4 linked regions of the Lepisosteus oculatus genome follow. The protein of the gene in region 3 interacts with the protein of the main gene of each other region in a pairwise test. Links are inferred from orthologs where the notes say so. Each region holds a gene or a part of one and is shown on either strand. Other genes may lie near its edges. The genes, in order: arpc5lb, lrif1, growth arrest and DNA damage-inducible protein GADD45 gamma-like and tsnax.

Evidence for each region.
Region 1: the proteins of growth arrest and DNA damage-inducible protein GADD45 gamma-like (region 3) and arpc5lb interact in binary tests that used the Homo sapiens proteins (3 or more experiments, as listed by UniProt). The link is inferred for Lepisosteus oculatus from reciprocal best matches to the Homo sapiens genes GADD45G and ARPC5L.
Region 2: the proteins of growth arrest and DNA damage-inducible protein GADD45 gamma-like (region 3) and lrif1 interact in binary tests that used the Homo sapiens proteins (3 or more experiments, as listed by UniProt). The link is inferred for Lepisosteus oculatus from reciprocal best matches to the Homo sapiens genes GADD45G and LRIF1.
Region 4: the proteins of growth arrest and DNA damage-inducible protein GADD45 gamma-like (region 3) and tsnax interact in binary tests that used the Homo sapiens proteins (3 or more experiments, as listed by UniProt). The two-hybrid records come from large-scale screens. The link is inferred for Lepisosteus oculatus from reciprocal best matches to the Homo sapiens genes GADD45G and TSNAX.

What each region holds. Positions count from the first base shown.
Region 1 is NC_090719.1:13,112,063-13,119,148, forward strand, and holds the start of arpc5lb (actin related protein 2/3 complex, subunit 5-like, b), read right to left. Parts: upstream 3,016-7,086; 5' UTR 2,743-3,015; coding exon 2,602-2,742; intron 691-2,601; exon of another isoform or gene 672-690; intron 1-671. Other genes in the region: rpl35 (large ribosomal subunit protein uL29), read left to right, coding at 5,644-5,646, 7,079-7,086. UniProt on the Homo sapiens protein: May function as component of the Arp2/3 complex which is involved in regulation of actin polymerization and together with an activating nucleation-promoting factor (NPF) mediates the formation of branched actin networks.
Region 2 is NC_090700.1:36,709,871-36,717,289, reverse strand, and holds the start of lrif1 (ligand-dependent nuclear receptor-interacting factor 1), read right to left. Parts: upstream 3,024-7,419; 5' UTR 2,928-3,023; intron 2,662-2,927; 5' UTR 2,274-2,661; coding exon 2,194-2,273; intron 432-2,193; coding exon 1-431. Other genes in the region: 26S proteasome non-ATPase regulatory subunit 13-like, read right to left, coding at 5,633-5,728, 6,323-6,439, 6,773-6,853, 7,097-7,163. UniProt on the Homo sapiens protein: Together with SMCHD1, involved in chromosome X inactivation in females by promoting the compaction of heterochromatin.
Region 3 is NC_090698.1:49,457,619-49,464,202, reverse strand, and holds growth arrest and DNA damage-inducible protein GADD45 gamma-like, read right to left. Parts: upstream 2,142-6,584; 5' UTR 2,072-2,141; coding exon 2,019-2,071; intron 1,761-2,018; coding exon 1,659-1,760; intron 1,548-1,658; coding exon 1,337-1,547; intron 1,221-1,336; coding exon 1,107-1,220; 3' UTR 518-1,106; downstream 1-517. Other genes in the region: growth arrest and DNA damage-inducible protein GADD45 gamma-like, read right to left, coding at 6,570-6,584. UniProt on the Homo sapiens protein: Involved in the regulation of growth and apoptosis. Mediates activation of stress-responsive MTK1/MEKK4 MAPKKK.
Region 4 is NC_090712.1:5,069,239-5,076,860, reverse strand, and holds the start of tsnax (translin-associated protein X), read right to left. Parts: upstream 3,024-7,622; 5' UTR 2,831-3,023; coding exon 2,815-2,830; intron 2,680-2,814; exon of another isoform or gene 2,241-2,679; intron 1,779-2,240; coding exon 1,671-1,778; intron 1,287-1,670; coding exon 1,172-1,286; intron 223-1,171; coding exon 92-222; intron 1-91. Other genes in the region: egln1a (egl nine homolog 1), read left to right, coding at 4,810-5,565.

The sequences.
Region 1 (7,086 bases), on a different chromosome or scaffold from region 3:
TCAGATCAGCTCTTGTCAGGCAGAAGGAGCAGTAATGGGTTACAAAGCCTCCTCTGGTCTCACAGCTCAGCCACATCCTCTTCATAACAGGTCGACCGTAGCACCGCACAGGAGAGCACACGAGCAGATAGAAATCAGAGGAACCACTAAGCCCAGTTCATCTGTGCTCCTTATACGAGACATTTACTCCCCCATTCTCATCTGTCCATCTCCTGAAGAACTCCAAGGGATCAGGATTTGACGATATGGCTGGGAACTTATGATTGGACACCCTTGATTTTTGTTCCCAGAAAATGAGGTCGTTTGAAATGCTAAAGATACACGTTTCTTTTCCATCCGAGTCCTTGTGTAGCAGTCAACTCAAAGAACTTCCCGACAGGTGATACCCCTAGAATTTGAACTGCCAAATCCAGCGCACTACTGTTTCCGTCTAAATTAGGGAGGACCAAACCCATTCAGTTCCTTAACCCTGTCCGTAAAGAACCACCAGTAAGGCCAGGAATTGAAGGTCATGTTTGGTGGGTTAGACTCCAGCTCCCACCCCCCGCAACCCCATACTGGACAAAGCGGTTTAGAAGCCAGACCGTTTAGTGACAAAACACCTTCGCTTTAAAATACTGGTAAAGCAGGCTTGAGGGGGAAAAACATTATTTACTCCTTTGTGATTGCAGTCCACCCCAGAACAAGGGCGCCACGTCCAACCTGCACAGCCAACTTACCTCCCCTGCGCCGTACGAAAAAGACGGATCCAAACAGCCGACTGCTGGCGCAATTCGGAGCAGATGGCTTTGTTCCCCCTGCAGCTCCTGGCACCTGGACACAGCCAAGTGGAGGGAAGGATTTGGGATCTGAGAGGGGGGGGGGGAGATCTTCGGTCTGGGGCTATTAAACTAGTATAATCCTGCATCTGCTGGGGAGACGCTACAAGCCTAATTCTTCAGGGGGTGCCGTAATACCGTACCTGAGCTTCAAACAGAGTAAGGATCAAGTACAATCTCCCCCTGATTTCCTTCAAGTGCACTTATGCTTTTGCCCTGAATGTCGCCCGCAGTACATTCGCTAACCAGGGTGCAGCTGACAGGCCCATCAGACTCGCCGTCGGTGCGCCTTTAATTAGCATGACTAACGCGAGGCTGCTCCAAAACAGCCCTCGGTCTGCAGAGCAAAGCTGACAGGGCGCTCGGAACCCGTTCAAATAGTTATTAAAGACCTGGAAATCTAAAAACCAGCACCTAAAGACATCCAAATTATTTGCAAATCTTAAAACGGTCGATCAGGAGAAACGTATTATGTCCTGGGTACTTGCAGGCGATATGCATGCAAAATACTGCCAACGTACAGGCGTTTTTCGCACGACAGACTGCACCAGCTTCCCCGTGTGCTCTCGATCCAGTTATTCTTAACCCTGAAGTCACACTGTGGAGGCGAAAGACCAAAAACCGCCGAGGTACATTCCTGTCTATAAAACGTGAACATGAAAAATAAAAGTTATCCATGGGGGTGTACCATGGTATGTACTGCAAGAAGGTCCCACTTGTAAATTGAGGTCACCCCCCCCCCAAGTACTGGTGAGGTTCTAGATGAGAAAGATGAATTAATCCACTAAACTCGGAAATAGGCGCAAGAAAGTGGTCTACTGGGCGGTCATCCGACGGGGGGGACGATCCCGGGAGGTTATTTAAAGCGCAACCCCCAAAGATAAAGACGGCGGCGGTGAAGTGTCTCACCCCTCCTCTAAAAATACACACAGCGAGTGGGCAGCCCAGACCCACGACACAGGCTATGTGCTTCTCTCTAGCTACACGAACCGGTCTGGGGGTTGTGGTGGCTGATATTTCTGGTCTCCTGCTCGGGGCACCTGTGCGATAAAGTGAATTGGGGCAGAAGCAGCGAGCAAGGGCGCATCGGGCCAGTGAAACAGCACAGCTTGGTCGGGGCGAAAACCTCCGCCGGTTTTGCCCACTTAGCTTCACAACCAGGAGGGGAGGCGATTAATAACTAACCTGACCAGCTGAAGACGTCTACGGCCGTCCCCCCCTCCAAGACCATGCCTGTTTCTTGGGCTAACGCCACCTTAACGTTTCAGCCTGTCAAAAGTGCAGAGACGCATTTGGGCGAAATGATTTCGCACTCGCCAAGTTTCCAGCCAGCCTCATCTTGTCAATGAAAACATCGGGGGGGGGTCATTCGGGGATTCATGTCGCATGCGTTTTGAGGGCAGATCCTTTAACGCATGTATAAACTGTCCCCCCGTTTTCTTTTTAAAAAAAAAAAACAGACTCCCCCCCCCCAACGCTTTCTGGTCGCAGCTCATGTGGAGCTCCGTTTTTTCCGTGAATTCAATTCCGGCCGCAGCAGCTGCCGAGGTCGTGATTGCTTTTGGAAAAGTTGCAATAAAAAGCCCATGCCGGCAACTTTCAGAGGCTTGACCGGTACCTTTCGGGTAACCCCCTTTCAATACAGCCCACCCCGACCCCCGTGACACGCACAGTATCACCCGTGTTAGTCTATGGAGATGATGCATACCCATCTGCACGTCATTTGAAACCCAATGCGCTTCCATTCGCGTCCCAGGGAAAAGAGGGGAATAAAAAAAGGATATTGCCTGATGAGGCTGTCCACCTCGGCCGTGTCCGGCCCCTGCTGCTCGGCCGCCTCCTCCTGCTCGTCCACGAATTTGTTCTCGTCGTACTCATCGATGTCCACCTTCCGGAACCGGGACGACAGGGTGTTTTTCGCCATCGGGGCTGCTGCTGGCCCAGTCCTGCTGCTGGCCGGGTCCGGGGGGCAGGCGGGGAGGAGAGGGAAGGGGGGTGGGGGGTGGTGTCCAAATACTGTACTTTTCGCAACGGGCCGAAAGCGCAGCGACACTCATGTAGCCCAAGTCCTGCCTGCCTGCCTGCCTTCTGCACTCTCTACCTCTGTCTTTCACTCCCTCCCCTCCTTTTCTCTCTCTCTCCCTCCCTCCCTGGGCTCTAGAGAGACAAAAATATGGCAGCTCTCTAGACTGGCGGAAACGGAACTACCTCACAGCGACAAAACCCAGACCTGATGCAGCCAGCCTCCGGCTGCTCCGCTCAGGTGGGTGGTGGCACACCGTCTTGCCGGCTGAGGGTCGGAGCCGGGCGCACAGGGCGCGTCGGTGTCGCGCCGGGGCTTCTGTGTGCAGGTGTTTTATCCCGTCGCTCTACAGTCCGGGACTTCAGTCGTTCACTTCAGCTGCACAGAGGTGCAATGTAATGCAATGAAATACAGCTTCACAACGAATGGTTGTGACTTTGTGAGACCGGGAATGTCAATCGATGAATCTTTTTTTTTTTTTTTAAAAAGAACATTCTTCTGGGGTTGAATTATTTAAAAAAAAATCTATATGGATTTTAAGATTTTCTTCCAAGGTGGCGATCTGCCATTTGGGAAGATGTGAGTTGAATCCAGTAATAGTTGCATATGAGTCGTACAGAGTCGTTTTTGGAATGAGAAATTGACGCAACTTTTGAGTGATTTCCTCCTGAAGCGGTTCCATCCTCTGGGGACATTATTTTGAGTTGTTCGGAGGGCGTAGAGCTGTTTTTTATATATTGTTTTCAAATAAATCAAAGTTGTTGTTGTTATTATGGCTCCGCTGTTAAACAAACTCCATACACCCCTTTCCCCAGTTCAAAGGCTCGTTTCCTGTTTATGAAAAATATCAAATATGTTCCCTCATTTTAAACATACAAAATGGTGCTGTGTATAAGAACGTTTTCCGGCGATATTTATCAATAATGTAAGTGTGCCATGTTGGTTTTACGAAAGAGGAAAACTAAATACAGTTCGAAATAATTGATTTTCTGAAGACCCAAACTTCTATTAGGTATTACCCGAGCTGTGGTCGCTTTTTTCGACTCGGCTCTAATAACGAGTGGCAGTAATAAGCGTGTGAGACCAATATCTTGAATTACCTCAGTCTAGAGCAGGGGTTCCAGATCTTGGGTCTGGGTGCTTAATTGCCTAATTTACCCCTCCATTGAAAACAGAATATCCTCCAGCTAGGTTCAATCCTGGACCTTCGGGGTGCTGTCTGTGTGGAGTTTGCGTGTTCTCCCACTGTTCCTGTGGTTTTTCCTCCAGTTTCCTCCCACAGTCCAAAGAGACACTGGTCGATTTATTGGCCTCAGGGGAAAATGGCCCCGGTGTGAGTTTGTGCATGTCTGTGTGTCTGTCTTGCCATGGACTGGCATCCTGTCCAGGGTGTATCCTGCCTTGTGCCTGTTGCTCGCCAGTTTAGCTTTTGGCTTCCCTGCAACCCGGAATTGGAGGAAAATTGACCAATATAGTGAACAATTGATTCCTATTAAGCCATTTATGGGTCACTGGAGTGAAAACCAGAATACATGGTGGCCCTAAAGGATGTTGAATGAACATCAGTGCCACTGGCTAAAGGAAACCGATGCTTTATTTTTTTATAAGAGGTTCAGTTCGCCTGCCACTCCTCATCAGACAGTGACTCTTTAAAGAAACACGCAGTTGCATCCCTTGGTCGTTTCCTTGATCTTGACGCATATGTAAAAGATGAATGAATAATGAAAGTGTGCGCCTTCCACAAAATGGAGGCTTTCCTTAAGAATTTGTGTCGTTTTTTTTTAAGTTATTACTTGTGTCACTTCACAGTAGTAAACGTGATTGTTTAGTTTTAAATGTGATTAAATATTATTGAATAATATTGTCAGTGTTATTTATTATTGTGATGTGTGGGCTGTGGTTGTGTTTGGAATGTGAATGAATGAAATGTAGCATAATATAGGTATATTATTAAAGACACGTCCTCTCACGATAGCTCATCTATTAATAAAATTAAGAACCTAATTTATGACTTCGCTTAGGAGACCTCTTTTAATGGCGAGCGTACGGAATATAAATTAATACCTTCTGAATTAATTTTCCCACATGAAGCCCGGTTGTAGGTTACCTCGCAGGTTATAGGGCATTTCATTTTAACAGCTAAGATACGAGTCAGCTTTTACTTTTCGTGCTTTGTTATGGTTATTGTATTGTGTTGATTTAAATGGACGTGAATGATGTATTTTGTAATGTGATATAAATGACAACACATATGCTATAGCTCTATAACTATAGAGAGGAATGGTATTTTCTTCTGAAACGTCTCAACAGAAGACCACTAATCTACATTTTATTTTAAGAGTGTTCACAGTATCCTAATTTCAAAAGGAAAATATGTTACGTATCAGGGATATTACAATCAGAAAACATTTTATAGTTCTCTCCAATGTGTTCAAATTTTTAACTTATTTTTTGTAACCTACATGGTAACCTCTACAAGTATCTATAAATTAGGGAGACATTTAACCTTATTAAACGTCAGCTTTTGCATCTAACAACAACGTGATTTATATATATACAGATTAGCGGTCGGTAGCGTCTGCAACAATACAATCAACATTATGTGCGTCTTTACTAAAGTAAACGATTATGTTACATTGGTTAATAAGGGAAAGGTTTTAAAATTCGAGTGACAGATGGAACATTCCTATAGCCTCCCCCCCCCCCCCCCCCTTTTGTGAAATACGTTGGTAGCGCCCGTAACCCGGTAGAGCTTCGCCGTGACCCTCTGGCCTTCCTTTCCTGTGACAGCCAGCACTGACGATGGTGAGATACCGTTCTTCCAAATCCAATCTCGTTTAATCCTTCGCTTTATAAACGTTATAATGTACAACGAACACATGCCAGCGTGTGTAAACTCCTTAGTTAAAAGTCAGATGGGTTATTAAACCAGTTGAAACACGACTTTCCCTCTATATAATACGTTTAATAGATTGATTCTCACTGGGCACTTTATAAACTAGTTATGGCTGTCGGGTTCTTTTACGTGGCTAGAATAACGCATGGCTTAATAAATCGTAGCGTTTTCCCCTCCAGCGCTTCTTTTATAGAATAGCATTGATATACTGTTAACCGTTTTGTTTTAAGCATCATCTGATCTCGCTGTATGGACAGCTCTTGTGCATGTGGTGCGGGGTTTGTTTGATAACTTTTTGCGATGATCGTATTGGAATATGGGGGTTCCTAAAATTCTTGGTCGGAAGGCTTTATTCGTTTGTTTTTTTTTTTCTGATATTTAGTCTTCGTTGGCCAACCTATATAAAACTGGCTGCGTTTTGTGCGGCTCTGAATCGAAGCTGAGGACCTGCTTTCAGAAACCTATTAAAAAACAAAAGTGCAGGGCAGGCCAGTGTAAAGAAAGAAGATTCCCTCTAAAACATTCTCATACATTTTTATGGGGGGAACTTGTTCTGCTGCAAGAAAGCACTTAGTTGTATTTACAATGATAATGCCGCTTGTTTGTAGTTGTATTGATTGGAGTTTTAGTAGGTAGGCTTGTGTGCTCACCTTTGGAAAGTTCAATTCACGCTAGTGGAACAGACGTTTTTTTTTTGTCATCATGCACGTAAAAGCAGATACAGATCCACATTTCTTCACTGGGGACAATAAAATATTGGAGTGTCTACTTGTGTCAGTTCTGTGGGTCCAACAGGAACGCCTTGCATCTGGATAGGCATCTGCTTTTGGAGAGAGCAATCCAGTCCATAGAAATAGTTCCAGTCCCAGCTGTGTCGGCTTGCACAGGCTGCAAAGGAACAGGTCCGGGTTTATTCCACGCCGAAAGGAAAAGAGAACATTTTGGCTGTGGAGCTGAAATGTTGTCTCTTTTCCTTTCAGTGTGGAATAAACCTGTACCTGTTGCCCCACAGTTTATTGGAAAAACCCTGCAAACACTCTTACTTCTAAGGAGCCTGGGCGGTGTACCACTGGGTGGCCCAGCCAACTTTTTGTATTGTAATGCAAAAAGTATCAATTAGTGTATTGAAATGCTGTGAACAGTGGTCGTGTTCTTTTCTAACCGGTGCCTGATGGCTCTAACACCTGAGCTGGGGTCACAAGAGATGAGCAGGGTGTCATGGTTCCGCAGCCCGGGTGTTGGCCTAGAAGGTTTTGTAGTTTTAGCTTCTGAGGCTGATCGCGCAGGAGATGATGGGGACGCGCGGGGCTGTGTGTTAACGCCGTCTGTCCCGGTGCCCAGGCGAAGAT
Region 2 (7,419 bases), on a different chromosome or scaffold from region 3:
TAGAATTTAGAGCAAGCACTTCCACTGGAGCAGAGGTTTGCTGTGGCTTGTGTGGTGTTACTGGAACCTGAATATGAACTGGAGAACATGTTGTGGCAAAAGTAACTTTCTCCTGGAGTTGTCCCATTCCGTGAATTGGATTTACTAAAACATTCCCATCTGACTGTCTTTTCAGAATGAATTTGCCAGGGCTAGTCTGTTGTAAAATAGCAATTGGTCCAGGGGAAACTGTAGTAGGGGTGAAACGGATGGCGGGTTGGTTGGTAGTCACAAGTGCTTCAGCATCACTGTTTTTATAAGTGCTTGACAAATTAATTTTTGCTTGCATCTGAAGAAACTGCCCACCAACTTTCTGAACTGGAATCAGTTTTAAAATATTTTGCCCATTGGAGCATATGGTAGGCATTACTTGATAATATCCATGTGACACACTGAAATAAAAAAAAGAGAAATATATCAATAGATGAAACCACAAGAAAGTCCATGTACAGAAGCTAAACTTCTCTTGCAAAAGAGAATCATACAATACATTGAAATAAATGTATATTTATAATAGAGAACTATTTACAAATTATGGAAATATGACCCCCCCCCATTTTATTATAGTCGTTTGTGCAATACAATGACATAAAACCAAACATTAGATTGTATTATAGTGAGCACACTTTGTATGTAGCACAATCAAATGCAACTGCCACCAAAATGATGAACTACAATAAAAAATTAAATAAAAATAAAACAATAACAATTAATTAAAAATGTAGAAAATTACATGGCATAAGTCTTCATAAATAAACTATTTAGAACTACACCGTATTAAAAGCCAAAACTTGATTTAAATGATGGCCTGCTTAAAAATCAGTCTACTAAGTTAGTCTGCCCTTACTGATATTTTAATTTAAAGACTTTTAAGATTTCAATTGTACAGACAGTAGGGCACACCCCGACTATAATAATTTAAATAAAATAGAAAAAATGGACATTTTGTATTTCTTTTAGAAAATTACCTCTACATGTGTAGAGATTTGCATAATCTTTTAATTTCAGTTGTAATTAGTGTAAAAATACACAACCTGGCAACATAATAGTTTAGAAAAATATAGTGTCTGATAGTCATTTTTGCCAAACAGTTCTGATTTGTCTTCACTGCTCTTGTTATATACAAAACTGTTAAAACTATACTGCAGTATCAAAGAATAAGTCAACAGAAAGTATGGCCAAAAACATTCTGCTTAGGTCAAAGATGGCATGATTCACAGAGTTTTAAAACCCAAGCTCTGCATCCCTGCTGCGGTTCACACACATGGTGCAAGAGTCTTTTTCACTGCTCTGAAAAAAGGTAATGCCCTCTGAGTTTTCATTTTCAGGATATGTATGTAAAGCGTTTTAGGAAACCCTATGAAAAAAAAGGCTCAACAGTAAATGTAAATACAAGAGCTACATAAAGCCAGGAGAAACTCAGTTACACTGTTTTTATATGTAACTTGATATACAATCCACTCATAAATTAAACCCTCGAGTTTTATCTTAAAGTTCTGCTTTACTTTAAATAAGAAAAACAAAGTAAATAACTGTAACTCTTAGGCTTATTCAAGTGCATTTTAAAATAAATCATAGCGTTTATTTATGTCATACTAACACGTTTCTGCCTCATATAAAAACGGAATTTAAATGAGCAGAAAAAAATTGCGATCAATCCATCTTTATCATCAGTGTCCATGGCCGTACAGCTAAACACGATCATTTTGCGAATAGTAGGTCCTTGAACATCGAATACGAAAGAAACATGTTACTGTAGTGACTTTAAAAAACATTTTACACAGCAAAATATGGAGATAAATTGCCAATACACAAACGGTATTTAGTAAGTCTTAAATGTGTGATTGAAATTAAGTGTTATGTTTAGTATTTTGTTTCAATTACATGAAAATTCTCTACCGATAAAACCTTTGCGGTTGCTCTAGAGATTTGTAGAAGTACGTTTCACACCATAATTGCGATGACAGTCACATACACACTGATCACATAGATTTTTATTCTTCAATTTCCACACACGATCTGGACATTATTTCCCGCAGTTCCAATTATTCTGGATCATATTCTAAATAATATTCGTTTGCTCATCTGATACAATGCTAAGGAACATTATGATTCGAATACATTTAAAATATTAATCAAATACACACGTCTTACCTTTGGTTTGAAGATGCCGGTAGATTATCGCTAGGTTTAAGCGGTACTGAAAATCTCACAAAGTTATTATTCATGATCATGTAGGATTTACGTTGAAGTTAAGGGAGAGCGAACCTTTTGTCAGTAGAAGCGCTGTTTTCCGTTTCTCACAGCCAGAAGGGTGAACCGAGTAGTTAAGATCAGTGTTTACCGTCTTAGAATTGTATCACAAAATAACACCAGGGATGCCTTTAGCATTAACTGCGTTAACTTTTGGTACAATAAATGGCTTTCTTTTGGGACATACTGAATTCACTATTAAGCAACCCTTCCCCTCATGTCCTTTCCTCTACAGACCACCTTTCACCACTCCTACTGCAGTACCGCAAACCTCCACCAGTGAAGCGCAGGAAGAAATTTCTCGGAGCAAAATGGCGGACCTGAGAGCAACGCCCGCCCCGTTTCACTCGAGCCACTTCTATTGAATCCCTGAAAAGAAAAACATATTTTAACCAATTACAATAAAAACTAAATCCTTCATACATACATAATCTACAAATATAATACAGATTAAAAACGGACTATTTGCCCAGTGCTGTAAATCAGCATAACCACTGAGACGCCATATTTAATGATATCTCTTCAGCTAAATTGAGGTATTGGGTTAAAACATAGAATATTGGGGTTCCAGATGATCTAATTAAGTTTGTAAAATTTTACAATATGTACTTCATCTTATCTGAAGCTTAACTTACCTCCCAATATTACACTCGTCAGACTGTAAATACTATATGCTCTTCTCTAATTGGATAGCCGTATACAAACCAGTCTCTAAAAAAATACCAGACTTCTTCAACTGATTTATACTTCCGGTTAACCTGGATGTTATATCGAAATTATATTATTTCTTCCGGGATCAAAAACATTAACTTCCTGTGGTAAAATAGATCCCCAAGTAGATTTCTTCATGGCAGAAACAGCGACATCTATAGACCACCAGCAAAACTTCCATATTTATAGTTAGGACAGGAAACCAAATGAGAAAACGTCGACTTTCATTTTATATGTTCGATAACAAAGTAGTCGTTTCAAAGAAGGTGATTATTTACTCATCTAGTAAACACTTTACTACAGTTGTTTTATATACGACAGTCGATAGTTTACAATTCATTTCCTGGAAACTGAATAATATTAATATCATGACACTGTACATTACTGTTAACACTCAGTTTAATTAACTTTGCTTTAAAGGACAAAATATGCTAAAATAAATTGTGTTTGTACAATCAGACTGGTAGATAGTCTGAACAAAAATCTTGATTTATTCATATAAATGGGACAAAAAAGAAGAAAAATAAGTATAAGTGAGTGGTAAAATACATTAATCTGAAACAGTTAAAAGTACATTTACTGAACAGTGATTGCATCGTGGTTTGACATTGTTTGAATAACAGAATAAAAGACTGAACATAACATGATACAATGCTTTATGCATTTTGAAAAAAATACTATTATGTAATACACCTTAGAAAAATAAAAAATATCTAAAATAATAAACAACACCTTTTGAACAGCACACCTTTGAATAGGCATGTATATCAATGGTGCCCCCTATGGGTAGAGCAGGTGGTATAGGGATAGGTGAATTGCTCATGATGTTATTTGTGTTTTGCATGCTGTAGTACATTTTTTATAAACCATTTTTTTAATACACTAAAATGCACATACAATAAAACAAGATAAAATAATACACAAGTTTAAAATTCAGAAATATTGATGGTGGGTCAGTTGCTTACAATGGGTATTTTGTTTTGTATGTTTTAGTGAATTTTATACAGTTTATATCCAACACATGAAATAAAGAGCTGGTTAATTTATGGTAAAAAAGGCACAGAATCAATTTTCATTGACTGTGTTGATTGCAATTGTTAAAAAAAGTAAAAAGATCCAGAGAGCATATACTGTATGTAGATATTTTTCTCGTCTCGTTTTGTGTAGCGGAAAAACTTAATTCATGATTAAACAGACACCTTTTCCCCCTATTAGTCCTTGAAATTAAGAGTTTATTGTACAGTATATACTTATTTTATTTATAAGAACAAACAACAAAAGCAAAGATGCTGCCTGTAATTCTACAGCACAGGCTGGTTTAGCCATTAACCTTCATAGGCTGCCAGAACCAAAGTCAGTTTCACAAATATTTAAATGCTGAAATTTAAAAAAATTCTCATGCCTTTAAGAATTTTGTTTATTATTTCTGAATGATTCTATTCATACGTCCCTTCCACGGGTCTCTATTTTTCTAACACCTAGCTTCTCTAACCAAATGAAAAAGTAACAAAAGAAGTATTTCAATGTAGTACAAAATCATAGGATTAAGCGAGGCAGACAATGTGAAACACTGATATTGTTCCTTGTCATTCATCCCAACTATACTTAGAAGTTTGAGTAGGTACCTGAGTCAGGATGTGTAATTATACTTATAAGTTTTCCAAAAAGCCATTTTTTTTTTACACTGACACAGAAGATGGCGATCTAAGAAGGCGGCAGTCTGGCATCATTTTTTGTCATAGTGAAAGTGTATCAATATCATGGCACTGTCACAATAAAATTTTGCTGATAAGGCACAATAACAAAAAGAGAGATTAGTTCACTGTTTTTTCATGTTATGCGGGCATGACTGTGACAATCATATCTCTAATAAATTACATACAAACACAACCCACCTTTCAGAGCTTAATGTAGCTTTAAAGATTAAGTGGAATTGTGATAACTACTGTATAGCAAAAACCCTATAAAATGTCAATGGCCATTATGTCCAGGTGGAAGTCACGGGTACACCACACAAGACAGTTTGGAACTGTAAAAGTAAATAAGATAGAAAAAAAAAAACTTTCTAAATTATTCACCCTATAAATTATGAATAATGCTCCTCATCTGAGTTACAGTAGCAAGGTTATGCAAAAATATTTGCAATTGAAATCTGTAGTGTTTATGGTCAGACTAGGGATTTACACTGACATCTGAAAACATATACCTTCAAGTTAAACCTTGCAGATTCGACAATTATCTTGCCAAGCTGAAGTGGGAAATGTGAATGTAGTGCACAACCCAGGGCAACGAATGGATTCAAATAATGTATAAATTAGTATTTAAACTTTGAAGCCATGAAAAATTCACTGTAGAAATGAAGAACCAACACAACAGATTCAGTTGTTTTCTTGCCGTTTTTATTTAACATACTCTAAATTCAAACACCTTTAAAAGGAGCACTGGGAACAATGAGCACACCGTCAAACAAATAATCAGAAAGACAGAGCTTGGATCTAATTCTTTAATAATAAAAAGCAGGACATACATTAATCTGCTTCAGCGGTATAAACTGGTGTCTGAAAAGCCCTTAATTATTTCCTGGTAACACCGAACACTGCTAACATAAACATCTGTGATCAATCACCCCTTATCCAAGGACTTCATGAGCATGGTTCTCCACCAGCACAGAAGTCTTCCTGATGCTCCCGCACCAATTCTCTAGACGGTCCTTCATTTCAGAAATCTAAGGACAGAAACACCTTAAAACACTCTTTGATCAAAACACATTTGTGAAATTAATTTCAGATCTGAAGTGCCGTGTGGTGATGTCATCAATGAGCTTGTTCTTGAGAGTGTAATTTATACTACATTACCCAGTGCACTCCAAATTTTTTGATGTGCTTATGAGACAACAGGGAGCAATAATAGACAAACTCCTTCACAAAAACTGATGAAAGCATGCCAGGATATCTCCATGCATAACTGTTTTAACAAGGTAAATGATTCAATGCATATACCTAACTATGGGAACTATAGGAACTACTGTCTTAGTATCAAAATGAATAAATCAAATGGCTTCAAGTGACCCTAACCCTTACCCAAAAGAAACTTAAAGTAGGAAACCAAAAAGAGACATTTTCCACTACAGGAAAAAACAACTTTTTTGCCAGATTTTTATTTTCTTTATGGTGCCACAAGGTGTTTCTTTCTTATCCACAATGTTTAGTAATTGAAAAATTAAAACATGAAAATGTAAAAACTTCGGAATCAGAAAATTATGATTCTTCTAATGATTGAGTATTTTTTCTTCTTTGTAAGGTCTCTTTAGGCAACTTACCTGTTTTAAATCCATTACTCTAGGCTGAACCCAAGTGAGGTGCACTTTCCTGTCAACTTCATCAATACTCCCCTTGACTAGACCATTAGACAGGGCTTTCATTACAAGGAGCTCAACCTGCAGAGGCATATGGTTCAAGGGGACATCATAACCAAATCAACAAAAGGAAGTGACACTCAAGAAACCACTTATCCTGAAGAGACATGTATATAGGCTTAATTATATTGTCTGTAATATCTATGTTTGTGATGTCTTACACCAAGGTCTACTCTCCTTGGGTTTTTAGTTAGGCACGGAAGGAGATACATTTATAGATGCAGAATATATTTCTTTGAAACATGATACCACTGAATAATTTTTGTAGACTGTGGTTGGATTTTCACAGGTTACCAACAACAGCAAATAACAGCATGGCCTTTTTCAAGACTCTCTCTGTCTCTTCAGCCTCACCTCAGTGATGGGCAGCTTGGTTTCCTTTGCAATTTCCTGGAAGGTAATCTGTCGGTGATGAGCTGGTCTGGTAAATACCATCTGGGGAGCACAGAGGTGTTTTAACTGTCTATTGACGTACTATAATCCTATACGTCACTACAGCACTTCTATATCTTACTTAGTGCTGTCTACCTTGAAATTTAAGACAGCCGTTAATCCGTTTCTCCAAAATATTTATGGAATACCATACAGATTATGAAACAGTTATACAGTATATTGTTAATTACCTTCTTTTAAATCCTTTCACCATGCAAAAACTTTCAAAAAACAGTCTTCTATTACCTCCATAAGGCACAGCAGCTGTAGTTTTTCCATCAGTTTGCTCTCATTCAAGGCCAGATCAGTCTCCCAAAAGAAAAACAAATCAGAGAAATGTAATCATTCTGTAGAACAGGGATAGGCATGTTCTGCAGGTTTAAGACGTACAGTACCTTTCAATTAATTCCAGTTAATACCTGGAAAACATTTAGTTAAATTACTTCCACCTGATGAAATTGAGCCATTAAGGTTGAAGATAAGAAAAAAAATATTTAAACATACTGTGTCAGTTAAGGATAGTGAGCTCCTATGAAGTAAACAATCATTGAAATTATCAAATAAGGTTA
Region 3 (6,584 bases):
GAATAACTACCACTTTCCACTATTAGTGGGAGCCACTCAATACAAAACTTGTGCTTGCACATTTTCGTGTTCTCTAAGCAGCAGGTGATGAGTAAATTGTAGTAAATTATAACCTGCTTAGAGGAAGAAAGATTTAAGGAAATGTTTTTTTGCCAAATTTCCCCCCCAACGGTTCCCCTTAGCACAAAAGCCTCCTACTACAAAAGAGAAACTCATTCTGCATGCATCTCATTAGTTATGCAAGCTGTTGAAGTAAGCAGCTGGCGCATTGGCGGTGAGAGGTCAATTCTTCCTGAATAGAGAGCGTTAGCTTCTCTGCTGACTATTGTGCTCAGACCGCTCCTGAGCCAAACTCCATGCGTGTTTCTTTGTGTCAAACGTCCAGCATCAGCTGCGTGCCCCACATTGTTGCGTGATAAAGTGAGTCTACAATGTGTTTGCTAAACTGCTGCTGTTCAAAATCACCTTATGCGTTCTGAAGGCTGCAGAGATCATTTCACAACACACGACGCAATAGTACATTTAATCGTTTTATTGCGATGTTCACAAACATCCTGTAAAATTCACAGCCATACATTGAATAATTTGATCCATTACGAAACTGCGTACAAAAATATCTGCGTAATAGTTTTTTTTTTTTATATTATACCGATTCTGAAATACCTGTTCGGTTAAATCAGTCCGTTCCACATTTTTTAAAACTTGTTCTAGCTTCCAGTTTCTCTAAAAACGTTCAGTCTTTCATGCGAGTCTTTCAGTCCATTGCCGGTACTCTGCACAATGCACTTCCTCTTTGCATCCTTCGTCAAGCCTCCACACCATTCAAAAATTCAAGAGCTCTCCTCCGCTCTCCTCTGTGGTATACCAGGCCCCGCACTGCCAGTGAAGTTGGGGGCACCTTGGTACGAACCGTCCTCCTGCAGATCCCGTTGCACTTGATTCCTTGTCACCTCAAAGGACATTTTCTGTACGCCCGCCCATGCGACTTTCATCTGAGCCCTCAACAGGATAATCCACAGATCTCAGGAATATGTCGGGTCCCCCTCGTATTCCAGGTTATTAATGCACCAAAGGTTAAGCATCTTCAATTTCTGAAAAGTCCCAGTTCATCGCTCAGGGAGCGTAATTGCAGGCACCCACTCGTAAACGTTACGACTCTCCTCGCAAAACAAGCTCAGCTTCTCCAGAGCCGGGTCCTTCCATGAATCCAAGTTTGGGTTCTGTAATAGGAGCAAAACGAAGAGATGGTAATTAGAAAAAGTTTTTTTTTTTAAATCTGCATAGATTTTTAAAGCAAAGACGGACTGACGGACATCACTGAGGAGACTGTACGTACCGTGACGAGAATGCAGTGCGCATCTTGGGGTTCGCCTGACTCATCGCTCCCGACAATCTCAGCCAGTCGCTGGATGTCATTCACCCTCACGATGTTGATGTCGTTGTCGAAGCAGAAGGCCTGGATTAAGGTGAAGTGGATCTGCAGAGCGATGTCGCACTCGTACTCCTCATCGGTTGCCAGAACACAGAAAGCCACGCTGTCTGGGTCACTGCAAACATAAAAATTATAACGCAATTTAGGATTTGTTTGACTCAGCGGAACATAACAATAGAATAACTGGTCTATTACCGGGAGTTAAGACTATATTGATAATACTTACACATTCATTACTTTTGCAGACTCGTACACTCCCACTGTCAGGTTTTCTTGTTTCTTAGCGGAAACCAGGAGCTCTTCCAGGGCTGAGCCAGCACACATCATTCTGGAAATCAATAAAAATAATCACTTGTAAGAACCTTTTACTGAAGTTCGCAGGGAGCACGCAGCAAGTCTGGAAGCCTCTTTAAAAACGACCTCTAGTTTAACAGAATAAGCCACATTCTGCTCATGCAAGCACACCAAAGATGATAAAATGCATCGTCAGTAATATTCCGACTAATGCAATGTAGCAATTCCTGATTTTATACAAGGGACTAAAAACATCAACTTAATTAAATGAATTCATTTCGTTTATATTTACCTGTCACCGGCTTCAACTGTGTTCTCCTGTCCGTGAATTTCCTCAAGAGTCATAGTTATCCTATTATCCACTTTAGTCACCCGTAGAAGCACTCCACAGAAGAAGAGCTTTAGTCTGTGATCAGATGTAGCTGCGCTCCTCTTTTATAAGCAGCCGGCCGTGTTCTTCGGTGGTGGGCTGGCGGTACAACTGCAGTGCTCGCTGATTGGCTGAGAAGATAAAACGTATGTTAATGTCTTATAGTAATTATTGCGGCTCGTGTCTGGGCCCCACGTGGGGGCGGGATTACAATGCCCGAAGTCTGCTCCTTTTGTTATTTTGGTTACTGGGCAGACTGGAGCCTGCCTTTTTTTTTATTAAAAAAAAAAGATTAAAAGACTTCAAATGAAAGTGCGTTGCCACAAATTACTTTAATCACGAAGAGCAAGTTTGTAATCTGCAGGTGGCAGTTATAATCTTGTTTTCTGTAAAACAAGATATCCATGCGGAGTTTGCTTATTTTTTCCGCCAGTCAAAAGAAACAGCATTTTTAAAGTAGCTGTGATCACACGTCTGTCTCTGTCTTGCTTGGGCTATCAACAGAGAGAGAGAGTCTGTGGGGGTGGGGGGGTAATGGCAGATTGAGCACGGCACACGCCACTCCTTTGCATTTGTAAAGGCGACACAATGGCCAGACTTCGGCGTGTGGCGGTTTGGGGGTCTCAGCAGTTCACGCCATTCAGAATTGCTGCTGGGCTCCACCTGCCACTTGTATAGGATTTTCGACAAGGTGGGGGAGGTGGGCTGATCTCTGACCTGTCTTCTGCTATCTCCCCGATCTCGCTGTCACGTACCGCAGCAGATGTGCGTCCAGCTTCTGCAGCAGACACGAGTCTGCAGTCGCGTCTGAAACTTGCGCATTTCGATGAGCTCCGAAAGTTGAATAATTCAACACACCACGGTATGTTATTCTGACCGTGTTCAACTCTTTTTATTTTTACTTTGGCTTGAGAAAGAGCGCAGTTTCAAGACAAAGGCTCAATTTGTATTTTCCCTCTGTAGGCAACAGTGAAATATTTAAAAGTAGCTAAAACAAATTGATAAGAAAAACAACCAATACCATGTTCATGAGTCCTGAAATCCACACCTCAATAAGAAAAATAACTGCACTCAATTAATTATACATGCATAGTAGTCCGTTAATGACATGTTGTGAAATGCACGAATTGTTAATGTATTATGCACAAACTGTTATTCCCAATTTATGAAAACATTGGATATTTAAACCCCTCTCTTTAGTCAATTTATGAAATGCTTTTTTTCAAGCTTATCGTCTATTTGCAAACTTCAGAGCTGTATGAAACTGCAGTCGTGGCGCCACCTGCTGTTTATTTAAGTAGATTCCCGTGCTATGGAAACGACAAGAGACGCGTGCTCTTTCAGAGTCCCCCGAGTGGCTCGTGTACAGAAGGCCGCTCGCTGGGGTGCTCTGCAGCCACGAGACCCGTTAGCTGACTGCTGTCACAGGTTTCCTGGGAGAGTGAACAGCTGGGCAGCCCCTGTGTTATCGGTGTCCATTGCTGTGCTGAGACTCTTGGAGGCTCCACTCTGTCGATACGCTCTTTTAGCACAGTGGGCAGCCCGCGTGATAAAACTGCAAATGATTTGATAGCGCGTCAGACGCATGCACACCAGGGGTCTGTCGGGTGTTAGAATAGGGGCTTACTGGTTTAGGTAGGTAAGTAAGTCGTTCTGTGAATAGAGATCAAAAGCCCCTGTATACTTCATGTATCACAGATTAGCCTTGCAAATGTTATACACAAATAAGGTTTCAAAGGTTCTTTAATGTCTGATTGTATTTTAAAGTTACTTCCAAATTCTTAGTTACCTGCATTTTTCCTTGACATTTGTACATGTACTTTGTACCAATATTGAGTGTTAAAAAGGCAAAAGGGATAATTATATGTACCATTCCCTTTGATTAGTTTAATGAGCCTCCATCTGAGAAGTATCATTTAGAATCAGCATCTCAAATTTTAGCAGTTAATGTTTAAACCACACTTTGCTTTCGATATTCTCATAACCAAACCTTGAATCAATCAAATTTAAGATGATAGCTCACCAACAAGCCTTTTCTTTTATTGCTATAGTCCCAAAGTTGTACACCAAAGAACGAAGATTAGCAATGATTTGTCTGAAGCAACTCCTACATAAACTTGTATTATGGATAATTTTGTATAATTTCACAGTTTGCTTTCATGGTCCAATACCACATTATTAATAACCAAGAGTAACCTCCTTTTCTGTCTATTTCACATGCTGATTCCAAAATGCTAACATATGCATTTAGTTATCAAAGTGTTATAACTCAGAGGATGTTTTGTTGTTGGTGATGCTTGGAAAATATGAACAGTTGCAATTATCTAAAGCTCTTTCTGCAAATTGGGAATTGTGTTGGAAATTACACTTTGCAAAAATTGTCCATTTTGGATCGAATCAGTGTGACAGTAACTGATAATATGTTGAAGAACCAAATAATCTTTGCTTTAAAGCAGGGGTGCATAACTCCACTTCTTGGAGAACCTCACTAGCAATAAGTAGGCTTTCATCCCACGTAAAGTCTTAGCTTCATAATTGATCTACCTGGATCAATTTAACATCTCACAACTGAGACGTGAAAGCAATCATCTCACGCTAACAGAACATTTTGATAGAAAATGAGCTCTTGGAAGAATTAGTTGTGCGTTCCCTGACCGCTTCTGCCATCTAGTGGGAGTTTTTATTACTGAATTTATTTTTGTCCTCGATTACAGTAAAATGCACTGCTCAAATTGAATAGACATGTCTGAATAAGTACACGTTTACTTTCCTTTTTATGGTTCATTCATAAAATTGTACATCAACGTTTCCACATTGTAGCCAGATCTTTAAGATCTCAGAAGCCCACACTATGATGACCAGGGAAACTATGATGTAGAGGTTGAGTTCTTCGGATGAGATGTTACAATGAAGTCCTGAGTACTTTTTCGTTAAAGAAATAATGGCTGTGTCAGAACATAAGAGCTGTTACAAACAAAAGGAATAATTTAGTCACATATAGGCTGCTACAGGTCACCCAAACAGGAGCTGCACTTCAGGGGTGGAAGTGGTCATACGGTACATGCTACACAACAAAAGCAAATAGAGCTTTAAACAGAAAAGTAGTAGAAGGAATGATCCTAACTCCATCCACTTACTGACAACTATATCTTAATACCTCTATCATACCCTCCCTTGTTTTTACCTTGGGAGCAGCTCCCTAGCTCATTCCCCTCTATAGTGAGGGATGTTCTGTCAGCAGTTAGCCTGTTGTTCTCACAGTTAGGTAAATTATGTCAAACACACCTTCATCACAGTTCCATCTTTATGTTGCATTTATTAGGATCTGACCAAACTTCAATTATTGATTTATTAGAATAGTCCAACTGAAATTCAATTATGTATACTTCGAAGAGAAACCATTTTAAAATATGTAAATTGCATTTAAATGTGATTTTGAAATGACCTGATTTTAAGGGCTTTCAAAGGAAATAGTTCTCAGGTAAATTATGCTACTGATAAAGAATATTTTTAAATGGGAACTATTGTTCCTTTTATTTGAAAACATTTATAGTGCAAGATCAGTATTGTGTTGGCTAAAGAAAAATAATAAATGAAAGAAATGGTCTATTCACTGTGGCTGATAATAAATTCTCCAGAAAAAAGTGATGTTATATTTTCATATATCAGAACTAATGTCATTCTGAAAATAACACTCCCGCTGATCTTTTTAAGGAAAATATGTGCCAAGCCGTACAAACTGGGGTTATATTGCTAACATTTTTACAGGATTTGGACACACAAATCACATATTCAAGTGCACATATTGCAGTACACTCCCAAGTGGTATCCATACCTACTCAAGAGGAATCGTTGTCTGTATACCCTTTTTAATTTTAAATGGCCATGCAATAACGAAATTCATACGTTAATTAAATACTCATTGTTTATTACTGGTAAATTAAATACAGAAAAGCAGAATCGATATGTTCATCAATGTAAACAAAAACTGTAAAAAAAATTACAACATCGGTATCCGTGTCAAAAGCTTTAAAAGTCTTTTGTTCTCTTTTTCTTCCTTTCAGCAGTTCTCTGAACTTCTTCCCACACATGTGACGTGTTCTTATTGATTTTCTTCCTGTCTAGATACTGTGAGTACTGCTTTTGCATCACAAGTGTAGATCTTGGAAATTCACAAGCGATTGCTTTCCAAAATATTTTCAGAATCCATCAAGCACCTTATGTCCCTCAAAACATTCCACGCCACTGAAAAGCACTGGTTCGCCCCTCATGAAGCCAGTGAATCTTGGGTCATAGAGACAGGGACTGTCCGTCTTCTCCTCCTTCAGGTCTCTGGGTCTCCTGACCAGAGGTTCCTCTATTCCTCTCCAGGAACATCAAGGATTTCAGGAATTCCATGCATTGCACATGTATTCCTCCAGGATGATTATTCCTCTGAGATTAAGCATTTCCTTCTTGGTCTGTAAAATCTCTTCAGCTCTCACAGAG
Region 4 (7,622 bases), on a different chromosome or scaffold from region 3:
GCAACAGGTTGGAGGTTCGCAAACAGGTGTCAAGCCAGCTGCTGCCTGCGGCGCCCAGCGCCACGCTGAGGTGTTGGCTATAACGTCTCACCAGGAGTGAAGGCCCTGTGGTACTGGTGCAGGTCCTGCCCTCTCAGCTCCTCGGCGATCTGTTTGATCTTCAGTCTCACGCCGTCCAGCTTCACCTCGGACTCCGCCAACACCTCCGCCACTCCGGGGACGCTGCGGCCAGAGGGAGACCAGGCATTAAAGGGGTTCACGTAACACAGCCGGCACCTGGGAACACCTACAACCTGGGCTGACAGTGGGCTCCTCCGCCCTCAGGGCTGTTGGGGCTCCCTGTTTTCTACACGGCTGGCCGGGCCTGCTGGATTGACGATCGGCCTCAGCCCAGAGCAACAGGCAGCACAACCTGTCCCGCCAGGCAACCAACTGGTCCCCCAGTTTAAACACTGCTTATTCCTCAAGCTGCAGAAAGCACGAACCATGAACATGTTAACTGCTTCTTTTCAAGCAAAGGGGCCTGTTAACGGTATCCGCTCTTTTCTAAAAAAGTACTTTACAGTCCTGGAATGTGGCAACCCCTAAAAAAATACACTAAAAGCCTACACAGAGCACCTATATATGGCGAGCAAACCATCAAAAAGCATCACACACCCGAAGAAGGCTCCACAGCCGAAACATTTTGTTTCTTTTCTTCTCTTTTCAGCGTGGAATAAACCTTTACTTGTTCCTTTGCAGCCTACACATGCTGACTCAAGTAGCTACCTCCTTGAACTACATCAAAAAGGGGTTTCTTATAATGTATCTCCAGGGTATTATTATTCTTTAATCTTACATTAAAAACACCAAATCAGCATTTTACTATCTACAATGAGTCCCATTGACTACACCGAGTACCATTCAATGCAGCTATTGGTTAATATACACAATACACACAGGTCTGTTCATAGCAAGAAGGCACCACATCCAAACCTCACCACCACCTTGGAAAAAACAAGCCCTCCACTCACTCATGATAAGTTATTCCTGGGGCTAACGCACTGAAGACCGCTGTCACTGTTTTATGGTCATGCTTGCACTTAAATCCACCAGCAGATTCCAGTAGCGTCCAGGATGAAACAGATTCTGATAGCCCAAGCCCTGCATTCAGCAAAACGTCACACCTTACCTGGTTACTCTGTGAAGGAGAAAAATAGTCCTCTTGCTTTCGATGGTAATATCGCGACTCAGTTTCACCAGCCTTTCGTATTTGTCATGCTTGGTGTCCAGCTCCAGCTGAAATGCTATAAAAAGAGGGGGAAAGCACTTCCTGTGAATTGGCTTCATTACTCTGCTCTCCTCCCCACTGATAGCAGGTGTGTGGTGGGCATTCTGGCGCACTATGGCTGCCGTCGCATCATCCAGGTGGGGCTGCACACTGGTGGTGGTGGAGGGGAGACCCCATTACCTGTAAAGCGCTTTGAGTGGAGTGTCCAGAAAAGCACCGTATAAGTGTAAGTAATTATTATTATAATTATTACCTTGACACCAATTTCAACTGTTCTGTCAGGGTACTACAAAAGAACTAGCTCTTAAGTATAATGCAGAGACTTACCAGCAATCAGTCTGCTCATTTGTTGCTTCTATTTCTCTATTGCTCTAGCATGAAAAAAAACGTATTTCCTTACATTTAAATGCTGCCATCACAGCTGAAGTTGTGTTAGTACCATCGTCCTGATCTTCCATTTTGTGGGTCGGAGTGTAATCTTGTCTCCGTTTCCGAAAACTTCCATCACCTTTGAAACCAAAACCCATAAACACACACAGGCATGTTACCACTCAAACGGTATGTTATATGGTCTTAAACCTCAAACAGCAAATAGACAATGAAATAACTGCTATTGCCCTGTAAAAAGGTTCCGTTTCAAACTTCTGTACTCATATCAACGTCCTGTCTGTCAGTTTATAAAATAAGATCAAAGCGCAGCTACAGAGGAATGATTGGGTAAGATCTATTCTTCACTGTTAAGGATGTTCATACAATTTAAAGGAATGTGGCTTCTGAGATCACAAACGAACTATTATCATTACTTATTTAGAAGACGACTTTAACGAAGCGTCAAACAACTTGTAAATAAGGACCTATTCGCGGGGCAATAAAAGCATTTGAATTTCAAAGGAAATACGGGGATGTAGCCGCATTTCAAAGGGACTGTTCCCCAATACCATCAGAAAAGGCTCACGTGTAAAACAAATACCGTTAACAATGCGAACAGATGTGTTTTCACAACAGCGGTGTACTCCTGCTCGCCTTAGCGGACTAACCCCGTTCAAGTCTTTGGTTAGCTCTGAATGTTGTTAGCTGTGTGATCTGAGATTACCCAGTTAAACGCGCATTTTCAATGAATTTTACTTTCAGAAATTGAGTCTCTATTTTCCTTCCTCTTTGTGACTGCGATTAATTAGCTGACAGATGCCATTCCTGAGCTTTTTAAATCAACCACAGCTGATTATCTTATCCCCTCCCTCTTAACCAAATTAACAACACCCAATGTATTTTTGAAAGGAGGATTAGCTCGAAAGGACAATTTTGGCAATTAGCCGTTCAGCCCACACTACAACCGACAGCGTGTGAGCAGACATCATCACTGCTGCTTTTAATCCAATTAATGTCAGAACTGTCCACACGCAAGCACCTCGTTTGAAAAAAACAACAAATATAAATTAATGAATATTAAAAAACAAAAATTTCCTACGACAGAAAACTCCGGCTTTCAAGCAATATGTCGTGAATTCCGTTACTACCTACAAAACAAATCACTGAACACTAACCTTCTTTTCTACTCATCGCGAACTAAAATAGTTTTTACCAAAATGTTCTTTGTTATTTAAACTCTGATTGACTTTAATTGCAGAAATTAACAATCGCCAATTCGCTGTGCCCAAGGATGTGTTTACATCAAACCACGCTTTCCTAAACAACCATGTTTCGCTCCTAGAACACTGGATATGCTGTAGCTGCCTTACAACTGCCTGTTAAATTAAAACAGAAAAGAAAGAAAATCATGTAGGTAAATAAAATATTTAGAAGTTTAGTTTTATTCACAATAATCGAATAGAAATTAAAAAGAACGTCGATGTTGTTTTCTGACCGAACTGTGACTAAGACGTACTTATTTTAATAGTGGCATGAGCTTTGCTTTTCAGGCCGGGAGCCGATCTTTTCAATTTAAAAATACGTCATACTGGAAAATTGCATTTTGGGAAATGTATTTTTAAGATATAGCGGCTCTCTAACGTGGTGTGTACAGTGTATACGTACTGTACAAGACCGGTATTTCATTTAAAAAAACACTCAAAAAGTTAATGCAATTCTTACACGTGAGCACATAATAATTAATGACAGGAAAAAAAGTAGATTATTGTTATGGATCCTACAAGTATATGGGATGAAGGTGTGACAAATGCAGGGAATTATGCTTCTGTTATAACTGATTATGCGGTACCTTTGATCATACAATGCCTTTACTATATTCAGACCGAAAAAAAAAAGAAATCTCGTCTGGTTTTAGGGAAACAAGGCTGATTTTGCCTAATCGGGTTAAGCACACGCAGTGAGGAAACTTGCAACCCACAAACAAAACCCAAGTCCAAATACGGGGTGCATTATAATATCAAAAGTGAGATATGAGGGTTCCGAACTATTGTGCCAAGAGAGGGTGGCGCTTAAAACACGTTGCTTTGAACAGCAGTATCCCTGGAGTCCACAAAAAAGCTCAACAGCTGGCCTATCATTTGCATTAATAAAAACAACGGGATTTTTCTGGGACACTCAGAAAAAACATCTTTCAAGGGTCCCAAGATGCTCTTGGCACCGTTAGATCACACAAAACACAGATACTTCCCGCAAACGTAACACCTTCAGGGTGTGTGTTTAAATGCGTTATTTCTTCTTTGTAAGCACTGCCTGATCAATAATTGCTGTAGAAGATGGCAAAATCGGCAAATCCCGGATTTCTGATGGGTCACGAAGAATACATGCAATGGCAGAGTATTTCGAAGAATAGGGAAACGCGCGCTGCGCGTCGCGTGTCGTAAATGCCAGATCTCCACAGAAAAAACTACGTCTTAAAATAAGCGCTCGGCAGTTCTGACAGCAGCGGCTGGGTGGCGCTCCAGGGACGAGCCCCTAATTTCAAGGCTTCAGTTCTGAGGAAACCCAGAACAGATTTAGTTGTTTCCCCCCCCTCGGCATTGTGACGTCGCTGTGTCTGGAATTCTGAGGCACAGAGGCGAACGCGTTCCGAAGCGCGTCGGAGCGGCCGCAGGTGTCACGGTTCCGAAACCGCCTACGGGCTGGGCACCCGATTTGTCTGGGCGACTTGACAACGCCGCGGACTGCACACAGACACGCACGCCTCCCCGGCCGCACTCCACTGCTGGGGTTCTTGTGAATGGCTCTAGGCGGGCCCTGCCCTTCCCTCGTTGACGTCAGGGGTTGGGGTTGGTTAGGGACGACGTGAGGAGCGGAGAAAGAGCGCGGCGCCATGTGTCTCTGGGAGACTGGCGCTCTGAGACCAGGGGCATTTCGGAGTGCAGAGGGAGTGCGCCATGTGCCGTCTGCACTGTCCGGTGTTCGCCCTCCAGTAACCCGCAGAGGGTAACGCAGCGTGGGTGATGAAAGTGCGTCGCGCCGAAGCGGAGGGAGCAGGTTTTCCTTTGGGCTTGTTTGCGGCGGCGGATCCCTTCCAAACTTGTACTGCGCCGCCGGGGCGAGGGGCAGCGCTGGATTTAAAGGGCCAGTAGCCGCCGCTGAACTTCGCAGCCATGGCGAGCGAGGAGGGCACGCTGTCGGACCTGGAGCGGGACCGGCAGTACTGCGAGCTCTGCGGGAAGATGGAGAACCTGCTCAAGTGCGGGCGCTGCCGATCCTCCTTCTACTGCAGCAGGGAACACCAGAAGCAGGACTGGAAGAAGCACAAGCTGGTGTGCAAGGAGGCGGGGAAAGCGCCGAGCCCGTCGCAGCCGGAGAAGAACCGGGCGGTCCGAGACGGGAAAGGAGCACAGCCGCCGCAGAAGGCCCGCCCCGGGCCGGACACGCCGGCTTCCCAGAGCCCGGCGGACACGGGGCCTCCGGAGAGGGAAGGGACGACGGATCATATCAACTGCGCGGACGAGCCGGGTGGCATCGCCAACAACAAGCAAGCCGGGGACGGGATTCACAATAACATTAAGCCCAACGGTCAGACGAAAGCCCAGCCTCAGAAGCTGGCCATGGAGTACATCGTGCCCTGCATGAACAAGCACGGCATCTGTGTGGTGGACAATTTCCTCGGGGAAGAGGTTGGACTGCGCATCCTGGAGGACGTCAGAGCCCTCCACCAGACCGGCAAGTTCACGGACGGCCAGCTGGTCAGCCAGCGGAGCGACTCCTCCAGGGACATCCGGGGCGACAAAATCGCGTGGATCGAGGGGAAGGAGCCCGGCTGTGAGAAGATAGCCTTTCTCATGAGCCGCATGGACGATCTGGTCAGACACTGTAATGGTAAACTGGGAAACTACCAAATAAACGGGAGGACGAAAGTAAGTAGCGCCCCAGGTGCGGACGGTGTAACCCCCCCGGCGCGCAGGTGCACATAACCCTCCACACCCCCTCCCCTCCCCTCTCCTCTCCTCTCCCCTGAGCAGGTGAAAAACTGGCCCGCCAGCTGTCGTCGGGGAACCGCCGGGTAAACACCTCCACGTGTGAGGAACGAGGCGCCAGGATGATTGTTGTCTTTCGAGAGTTTTGTTTCACGCGTGTCTGTAAAATGCGTGAGATGACACGTTTAGCACCGAGTCTTGGTGGGGGGGACAACACTTACTTTGACCTGAAGCAGCAGGTGACGGGGAAAACAGACGAGTTTATTCCAAGATCCATTAACAATACCGGGTGCTTTTCCAGCTCGTAAGTAGTCGAGTTCCTTGGTGTTTGCTCTTGTCCGACACCTCTGCACCATTCGTTTCCGTCAGACGCAGTGGCAAGCAGCTGGAATATAGTCCGTGACCCCTTTTGACGTGTTTTCTGCGATGGACAGTTACAGGGGTTAAAAGGGAAAGTTGTGTTTGTGTTTTTTTCCTGGAGTGGGGAAAAATGTAGCTGTTTCCATTCGACAGCGATGCAGGCATTGTGTGTGTCAGCGTTAAAATGAAATCATGATGGACTACTGACCAGCGATCCTTGGGCGAAATGCTCTTCACTTTGACGAAGGAAAGCGAGGCCTTAGTCCGCTAATAACTTTGTAGACACGGACCCAGGCTGAGTCTATCAGCGCAGTGCCTAATTGTCTAATGAAATACGCAATACCAGCTCAATTAAGAACCCGTTCTGAGCTGTATCCTTTCCAGAATTCTTATTGAGATGACAAACGTTTATTTTTCGGCGATCGTTCGATACCGGTGTAAATCATTATAGCACGTTGTACGTGTTTGGGAATGAAAAGCATCAGGGAGAGTTTTACGCACACGTGATTTAGAAAGTGACTGACGGATGTAATTCCATGTGACCGAAGAAGATTGAGCCTGGAAGTGACAGATGTTCCGAAGTCCAGAAAAGAGCATTTCTGTATTCAAATAACGGAGAAAATAAAAGAGAGGTTAAAGAACATTTTAGGATTAAAAAAAAAACGTGGCTCACTAAATTAGTCGTCTGAATTCTATATAGGCTGATTTCACTGCAGTGATAATGTTAATCCCTTTTTATTTTTTTGAGCACGTTTGTGATGAGAACAAGGAAAAAGCCCTTAAGAGAATCGAGCTATTTTGTTTTTAAAAAGTGCATTAAAATAGTATATGAAGTACAAATGGAGTAGTCGAGCACTTCAAAACACAGACCCCTTGGATTAAGACGAGAAAGCTTTAACCTGTCCACATTTGCTGAAACTTTATGCATTTGTTAGAATGCATATTTGTGTCTTTTTTTACAGCAAAGGCTTTATTGAATTTATACAGAACAGCATAGCAAAAAAGTGCTGTTTTGTATAAGTCAGTTTGACATGTGTTTTCTTTCTTCTCTTTTCAGCATGGAATAAACCTGTTACTGAGAAATGCTCAGGTGATGCAAAATGATCATTAAAATAAGTTGAGCAGTGTTACGTAGTTACCATAGGGACAGACAGTAAAGACGAATGACCGCAGTGACTTTGTAACAGGAGCTGGGAAAAGAAACTGAGGAAAATGTTATCGTTGAAGAAAACGAAGGACAAATGCGAGCACAGATGTTAGAACTGTAATAAGTAAGACTGCATCTTAAGATGGATATGAATGCTATTTGATTCTTTGGTTATATTTTCCAAAGGCAACATATCTTTGGTTGCAAAACGTTGAAGTTTTTCAGTTTTTTTTTTCCTTCTTCCATGGGTTTGAACGCATTCAATTCAGGCTTTGTAAAATGCATAACTAACCTTCGGTACACAAGAGATTCAAAACGCAGAAATGGAAAAAGAGCGATATTTCTCAGAAATAAAAAGGTGTTTTAGGTACTTACAGTTTTTCCAGCAAGAACTGAAATTCCCAGTGAGCGGTAGAAGATTCTTATTCTTGTACAGCTTATGGAATATAAATTGATCTCTGTGGTGCATTTTGCAGCATGCATCTAGTGT